Linked DNA regions of Danio rerio. The protein of the gene in region 2 interacts with the protein of the main gene of each other region in a pairwise test. Links are inferred from orthologs where the notes say so. Each region holds a gene or a part of one and is shown on either strand. Other genes may lie near its edges.

Region 1 (4,361 bases), on a different chromosome or scaffold from region 2:
TTCTAAATATTCGTTTTGAAAAAAGAAACTCATAAAAGAATGGAACCACTTGAGAGTGAGTAAATATAGATTTTTTGGTCAACTATGCCTTAAACCCTTCAAAATAAATTCCACCATTTATACCAGTTCATCTGTATCATTAGCTTTTGGGATGGATATACTGCATGCATCCACATTGCACCTTTTCATAAATATAGCAGATATATCAAGAGCGCTTTAAAAAAAAATAAAAAATAAAAAACATATCAATTAGTGCTGCACAATACATCATTTTAGGAACGATATCGCAATGTGTGCATCCACAATAGTCACATCTCAAAGATATGCAATGTTGAGTTGACTTTGCAGTGTAATTTTTACATTTACATATACAAAACCATAATGTATGCACTGTTTATTTCACTTTAATCATTCTTTTGTTGCATTTATCTCTGCTTGTAGTTTGTTTATTGTATGTTCTGATTCAGTCGCCTACAGAATCATCCCAGTCAATCAAAATGAATACATTAGGTAACACTTTAGGGACCAATTCTCACTATTAACTACCAGTAGTTGCTTATTAGCATGCATGGTATTGAGATACTGGCTGCACATTAGTTCTTACAAAGCACATCTTCTGAATGATATTATTCTACCCAACACCTAAACTACCTTAATAACTATTAGTAAGGAGTTTATTAAAGCAAAAGTCAAAAGGGTTTGCAAAGAACAAGAACTGAACCTTAAAATAAAGTGGACCCTAATTCTTTTCAAGTATAACGAAGTAAATCACAATATATATTGCAATGTCAGATTTTTCCAATATCGTACAGCCCTAATCTGAATACCATATACTTGATTCACAAACACTAGTCACATCTATGCAGAGCACTAAGAATTATAACGCATTAGAACATATGTAAATTCACTCATAATGCTCCTGATAAAAGTTCATATTGTCTTCATGTTCAAGCAGCTCTCCTACATCAACAGCAAACTTTCTAGTCCAAATACTCTCATTAAACCAATAATTACACACCGGACACTGTAAGCACACATTCATTGCCTGAAAATCAACAGCAGAGATCCTAATGGATAATTGATACCAACAGAGAATCAGTTCCTGAGCCAAGCGCAATCAGGATAACCCGAAAACTGCGCAAAACTACTGACGTCGTTCAGTCACACACATGTTGTTTCAAACCTGTATGACTTTCTTTCTTCCACTGAACACAAAAGGAGATGTTAGGCACAATGACAGCCTCGGTAACCATTCGCTTTTCATTGTATGGAAGAAGCAATGAAAGCGAACAGTGACTGAGGCTGTCATTCTGCCTAACATCTCCTTTTGTGTTCCGTGGAACAGTGGGCACATTTTGGGGTTAACTAGGCTATTCCTTTAACTGTGTATCTGAGCTTCAGATAATTACACATAATTGTGAACAATTTTTATGTGTGACCCAAATTAGGGGTGGAAAAAAGCAGTGTGTTTTGACAAATTTGTAAAAACACATCCCAAATAAGTTTATTCTTTAACACCAAGCGTTATATAGTCTATATTTGGTATTTTTTCATACACCACAGCTTCTCACTGAGACGGACTTCAAGTATTAGCTTTACCTCTATATGCCAAAACTTTCTCTGTTCATATTACATAAAATATACTTTAAAATACTGAGGTAAAGTTGGTTTTATATTCGCACATTCATTCAGTGACATCTCCATACATTGTTTACCATGGTACTTTGAATATTCCGGCTGAAATCACACGTAGGCATGACTTTAAAACAACATTAGCACTATCTAATTGACTGTGAGCAATGTTGTACTTTGATAGTCTTTGGCTGCTAATATAATTTCACTATTTAGAATTTGCAATTAATATTTTTCTGAAATCATATTATTAAAGATAAAGTCTGAATGTAGAAATATTTTAAAAACTTTACATTAATTTTAAAGTCAACGGTTTGAACATCAACCATCATCTACCTTCAAAACAGTGTTTCTAACTACTGAGGTGACGTTTTTATATTTACATGAGGTTTTATATTTACATATTCAGTGGACTTGTGAGATGCTTCATATAGTGTTTCCCATGATACTTTAAATATCTGGTCTGAAATATGACTTCAAACAATATTAGCACTATTTATTGACTGGGAGCAATGTTGTACTTTGATAGTCAATAGCTGCTAATGTTTTGCCTATTTAGAAATTGCAAATACTGTTATGAATTTATATTTTTAAGGAGAAAGTCCGAAAGTGCAAATCTACAACCAACTTTAACTAAATTCTCCAAGCAGCCAGAGTCCCTAAAGTGAGGCGTGCTCCTCAAACTTTAACTTTAAAAGCTCAAACGCGTTTCTTCGGTGTAAATTTGAGAGTTGCCCGCTTGTTACTAACACTCAATGACACTTGCACACGCTACATCATGCTAACGGCAGTAAATGTTGCGCCAGTTTGTAGTAGCGTAAAACATTCTCGGGGTCCCGAAACGAGAGAGTGCCCCTCTTCATCTCGCATTCACCATCCTCATCCTCCTCTCTCACTGTAGTCCCACAGTACTTTAAAAAATAAAAGAGGAAGGACAAACCTAAAACTGCTAAGCCCTGTTGCGAAAAAGCATGAACGAGAGCGACACACATAAAAGGGGCACGACATTTTTTTCAGCCAACCATGATCTCTTACCTCCGACCCGGTACATGTTGGCTGCCATGACTCTGCCCCCGGTCCTGCCTGGCGTCTCCAGGTAGGGCTTTCTCTCTCTGCCGCCGCCGCTCAGTGCTGTGCGCTGGAAAATGGTGGATTGATCAATACGAAGCGGACCAGAGAAGGGATCTTAAAGAGACAGTGCACATATTTTGATGAAGCCGCGTTCCACGGGCCGGTGTGCGTGTTCGCGTTCGGATTCGCCCGCGTGTTTTGGAACACCTTCTCAACAAAGCGGGATCCTTCACTCCGGAGCAGAGCACAGAGTCGGGCCACGGAGCTGGAGCGCGCGCGAGAGGGAGGGGAAGGGGCTCTGTGTGGCAGCATCACTCGCCTTTCCCCGCCTACTTCCAATGGCTGAACCACTGCTGTACTACTTTGGACCCGCTAGAGGCGGAACGAAAGAAATAAACAACTGTTGCTTTTACAGGAGTTTGAAACAAAGATATAAACAAGTGATGGAACGCAGGAGCAAAAAAATAACTACATAATGTCTAATGAAACTGTGAGGCGAGCATCAGACATGTTGGACTTGCTTTCAGAGAACAAAGAGTCCATCTTTGATTTATTCAAGTGCTGATATTTTGTAATGCTGTAAGGTTGCTAGGGTAATGTGGTTGGTTGTGAGGGTGCGAGTAGAAAGTTGTTATATATTTGTAACTATAATGCACTTGTGGTGATAGGTGGTTCAGTGGTTAGCACTGTCGCCTCACAACAAGAAGGTTGCTAATTCGAGTCCCGGCTGGGTCAGTTGGCGTTTCTGTGTGGAGTTTGCCTCTCCGTGTTCGCTTGGGTTTCCTCTGGGTGCTCCGGTTTCCCCCACAGTTCTTGCGGTATAGGTAAATTGAATAAACGAAATTGGCTGTAGTATATGGTCTGATCCCAATTCTATTTTGTGCCCCTTAACAAAGACTTTTTATTTAAATTTTGTAGGGAGAAAATTAATGGGGAAATTTCTTCCAGAACCAGCAGTGTTGGCAATTGGGTTGGCCCTGATGCATTCTTTAGTGTTGCTGAATGGTTGCTTGTCGGCAGAGTCAAAAGAGCACCATCCAACATCTCTGATATGGCTATTTTCAGTTTTAAAGGGCACCTATTATACCCATTTTTCAAGATTTAAGATACATCTTTTGTATCTCCACAGTTATCTGTAAAGTTTCAGCTCAAAACACCCATCAGATTATTTATTATACCATTCAGATTATTGGGATTTTCTGCTCTGAACACTATGTAGCTGTTTTTGTTGCCTGTGCCTTTAATGCTAGTTCTCCCCGCCCACCATTCCCACATGCCTGTTAGAGTGTGCGTTAATCTCCACCTTGGCTGCGTCAGATAAACAGCACAGTGACTGACATGAAGAAAGCAGATCTCACGTAACGTTTGTAAGAAATACTACAGTAAGAACTTTTCCAATGATTATTTGATGCATTTGTTGTGAAGTTAATTCACACCTTTCTGCAATGATGAGTCAGATTTTTTAATCCTGGTTGCTTTGCGGATGTAGTGTCTTGATGATATGATTATACGCGTTACTACAGGGACATGTTACAGTTTTTCTCAGTCGCTTTGGTGCATTTCTCACAACACTATTTACATTTGCACAATAGTTAATGCAGTTCTCAAAACAATTAGTCATTTGTGCACATCATAGTAGCAGTTTCTCATTCCTTCCA
Region 2 (3,830 bases):
CACACACACACACACACACACACACACACACACACCTGTCTCTGAGTTTGTCAGAGAGTTCATCGAGAATCTGAACAGCCTGTCTGTGGTACTGCAGCTGAGACTCAACCAGTGAAGACAGCTGGCTCACCTGCTCAATCTGCACACACACAGTAAATATAGAAACACAAACTTATTTTTTACTCATGTACATTAACATGAAACGTGGAAATGTAATAAACGTAACGTGAAAAATAACACTGGAAAACAACCGTTTTAAACAAATAACTTAGTTAATGAGTAATTTGTGAAGCCTTGAGTCAATAGGGTCTATGCAGAAGTATGCGGAAGGTCTTTTAATTTGTCAGTAACCTGGGTCAAGTGCTTCCAGCGAACTGTACACTATTACAAAATTGGCGCATTTAAGGTCTGTTTTTTTTTTTAAATATACAATCTTTACCTGATTGATATATGTTATAAAGTAGGTCTCAGAATGTACAAGAGGCACTGCATTAAATAAATGTTTTTGCACCGTGGGTCAGTGTATCTTTTGGACATTGGATTTTCATTTTAGAAACCGATATTGAAAAATGAAAAATTAACCGTTTTTTAATTTTCGTTTTAAAATTTAAAGACGAAAATTGAAATACGAGGTGTTTTTCTTTTTCATGGTGAAAAATTGAAAAGAAAAATTAAAAAAAAGATTTCATTTCATTTTTTCATTTTTTAAATGGCGTGTGCGTGTAAATGGCTTTTCATCTTGTTTACGCTTGAACAACTAAATAAATGCTTTAGTCTATTTAACTGATTATATTACAACATCAATGCTGTGAAATGAACAGTAAAAAATTAAAATAAAAAGTCACATTAACCGTTCACCAGAAGTTTATCAGTATGGGAAGAAACACTAACTCTGCATATATACTATAGACTACTAAATCTACACTACTAGCTTTTAATACAAAAATATTTTCTATGGTTTAAAACCAAACCATCCATCATTTTCAGTGTTTTACTTTAAATGTATCACTGGAGTTCAAAATAGCACCTCCATAAACTTCAATTTACAATGTTTATTCTGTCATTAAGTTTTTGCCATTTTGCACCAGAGCAATTATGGACTATGTATGTGAAATTTGAAATAAAATGTCAAAACATAAATTCACACAGAAAGTATATATTAATATTATAATGAAACAACTGTTTATATTTTCCAAAACAACTCACAAGAGAGTTATGGGGTCAGAAAAATATCAATCTGTAAACATTTTTTAGATTTTAAATAAGGAAAAGAAGCATCTGTTATGGATGTAACCAAAAAGTATGCAAATGTACAGTATACAAAACACTTTTTAAAATTCGGTGAATTTAACTGCACAACCCTAAAGAAATGATGCTAATCAAATGGAAAAGAGATTACTTACTATGAAACAAAAATGACTGACGTTATGTTTTTGCATTTATAGGGAAATAGCTTCATTATGGATGCAACACCTCTCCGTTTTGAATGTGACAGATGTGAAATTGCCACTTGTGTGACTTTAGTCAATCAAACATAATTGTTTGACAAATTTACAGAGACATTTTTGAGTATTTTTACAGTACTGTAAAACAGTGGTTCCCAAAGTGGGGTCGGGACCCCCTAGGAAGTCGTAGGACAATGTGGGTCACTTGGTGATTTAAAAAAGTTAAACAAACTTGATTGTACTATTAAATTTGCCATAGATTATCCATAACCTACAGAGGATAAAAAGAGTACTTACTAGTTACATACTTTCAATTTTTGCGACCCCTGGGATGATAACATTATTGTAATATTTAATATTAATAGCGTCAGTTGCAGCAGACTGATTTTACAGCACCATGTTAAACTTTGACACCCTTATGGCACTAATGTACATTTAAATTAAACGTTTAAAAAAAAAAAAGATTATAAAATCTACACCACTTAAAATAGAACATAATCTTCAAGTGTCTCCATAATTAAACCAAGAATAGTGTTGTGTAGTAAACATTGTGCCCACCAGTCTCATTATATGAGGTTAACATTAAATTAAACAAATGAATAAATAACAAAAAAATAATATGATTGTTAGATTGTTGCACTTTTTATGTTGTCAATATGCTAGTGTTTATATAAGCCTATTGGTGTGTATGTGTGTGCAACATTGTGTGCAATGCTTGTATGTTTATCACTACCTCCGAGGTTAGTGGGGGTCAAGTTACTGAAATTATTATTTATGGGTCACGGGCTGAAAATTTTGGGAACCCCTGCTGTAAAATACAAGCCTACACGAAAAACCATTAAGGGGTTCACTTTTTTGGTGAAAACTATATATATTTTTATGGCAGGGTTGACTTTGAATGAAATTGCTCTCCAACAGATGGCGCTCTATCATCTTTAAACATTCAATAAACACTACAGCTTAGAAGAAAGAGGATTTTTTTGGCTGCTCTTCAGTTTTATTGGATTACCTGTCGTGACCCCGCTGATGGACTAGTCAAACATAAAAGAAAAACATTCATTTTTAATACTGCTCATTCTAAAGTGACAGCCTTTGACAGATATCTTAACTGAGAGCTATAGCTGAGTAGATACAAAATCAGTAAGGCAAGGTGTTAAAAGACAAACACTGAATTAATCAGCGCTTCTAATAGGATTAGCACAACCCCTAGGGAACACAAAAGCACAAAAAACACACCAACTTAAGCACCAAGCTGTCAGACGGTAAATCCTTACATCGGTTTCCAGAAGGTTGTACATGCTGATCTCAGCCACCTCCTTAGATTCATGAAACTTCTCCAGCGCTTGCCTGAGCTCTTCATCTGGAATTTTCCCCTGACGTTTCTTCTTATAGTCATAATCCAGCCTGCGTCCTTCAAGCTTTTTCAAATGGTGCTGAGAAGGAGGGAAAATCTTCATTTCAATGCAAGTGGTGTAGAATAGACCACATTAAAAATAGCAATAGTTATTAATAGCAATAGACAACTTTCCTTTTAACTCAACTAGCCCAAATCAGGATAATTATTTTTAATGAATTGATGTTTCTGTGTTATTGAAAATTGAGGCAATCAAAACATAAATATTCCAAAAAAGGTCATTATTTATCATTTGTAATCAAATTGGTTTATCATGTAAAGTCATGACATCTCATCACTTCAATGTAGGCATGAGGCAGTTTTTATAATGGCAAAGATAATTTGTTATACCATTCGTACAATATATGTAAGTTTTTTTATGTGTTTTTTAGGGCGTTAGTAGTGGTGTAACGCATCACAAATCTCCTGGTTCGGATCACACTATGGTTATTGAGTCACGAATCAGACCATTTTTCGAATCAGAAAAAAAGAGATTGGACAAATGTCATTTGCTTTCCATTTATACAAAAATATTACTGCAAAAACCATTGGTTTAACCGCAGAACTTAAATATCAAGAAAGAACCCGCTGCAAAAAAGGAAAATATTCAGTACGAAAATGATCTTGAACAACAAAACATATTTATTTTCAATTAATTGTTCAACAATTCACATATAAAACTTCATCTTTCATTATAGGTTATAAACATTTTTGAAAAACTATTCAGTGACATCATTTTGATGGTTGTTTTTCGCCACCCATTGGTTACACAACGATTTTAACCTTTACCGTGTTTATTTCTGAACTATAAACTGTTATCCCAGTACTTCTGTGTTATTTAATTGTTTGTTACTAACTGAAAAAGTGTAAAAACTGAATCTCTCTCAATCAAATGCAGATTTGAATGTAGCACTTCGAAGGATTAATAAATATATGCAAATCACCATCATTTATAATTCATGCTGGGGGGGTTTGAACTGAGATCACAATCT

Evidence for each region.
Region 1: the proteins of sh3gl1b (region 2) and mta1 interact in binary tests that used the Homo sapiens proteins (3 or more experiments, as listed by UniProt). The two-hybrid records come from large-scale screens. The link is inferred for Danio rerio from reciprocal best matches to the Homo sapiens genes SH3GL1 and MTA1.

What each region holds. Positions count from the first base shown.
Region 1 is NC_133192.1:39,376,842-39,381,202, reverse strand, and holds the start of mta1 (metastasis-associated protein MTA1), read right to left. Parts: upstream 2,987-4,361; 5' UTR 2,696-2,986; coding exon 2,668-2,695; intron 1-2,667. UniProt on the Homo sapiens protein: Transcriptional coregulator which can act as both a transcriptional corepressor and coactivator. Acts as a component of the histone deacetylase NuRD complex which participates in the remodeling of chromatin.
Region 2 is NC_133183.1:20,717,119-20,720,948, forward strand, and holds part of sh3gl1b (SH3-domain GRB2-like 1b), read right to left. Parts: intron 2,879-3,830; coding exon 2,720-2,878; intron 140-2,719; coding exon 36-139; intron 1-35. UniProt on the Homo sapiens protein: Implicated in endocytosis. May recruit other proteins to membranes with high curvature.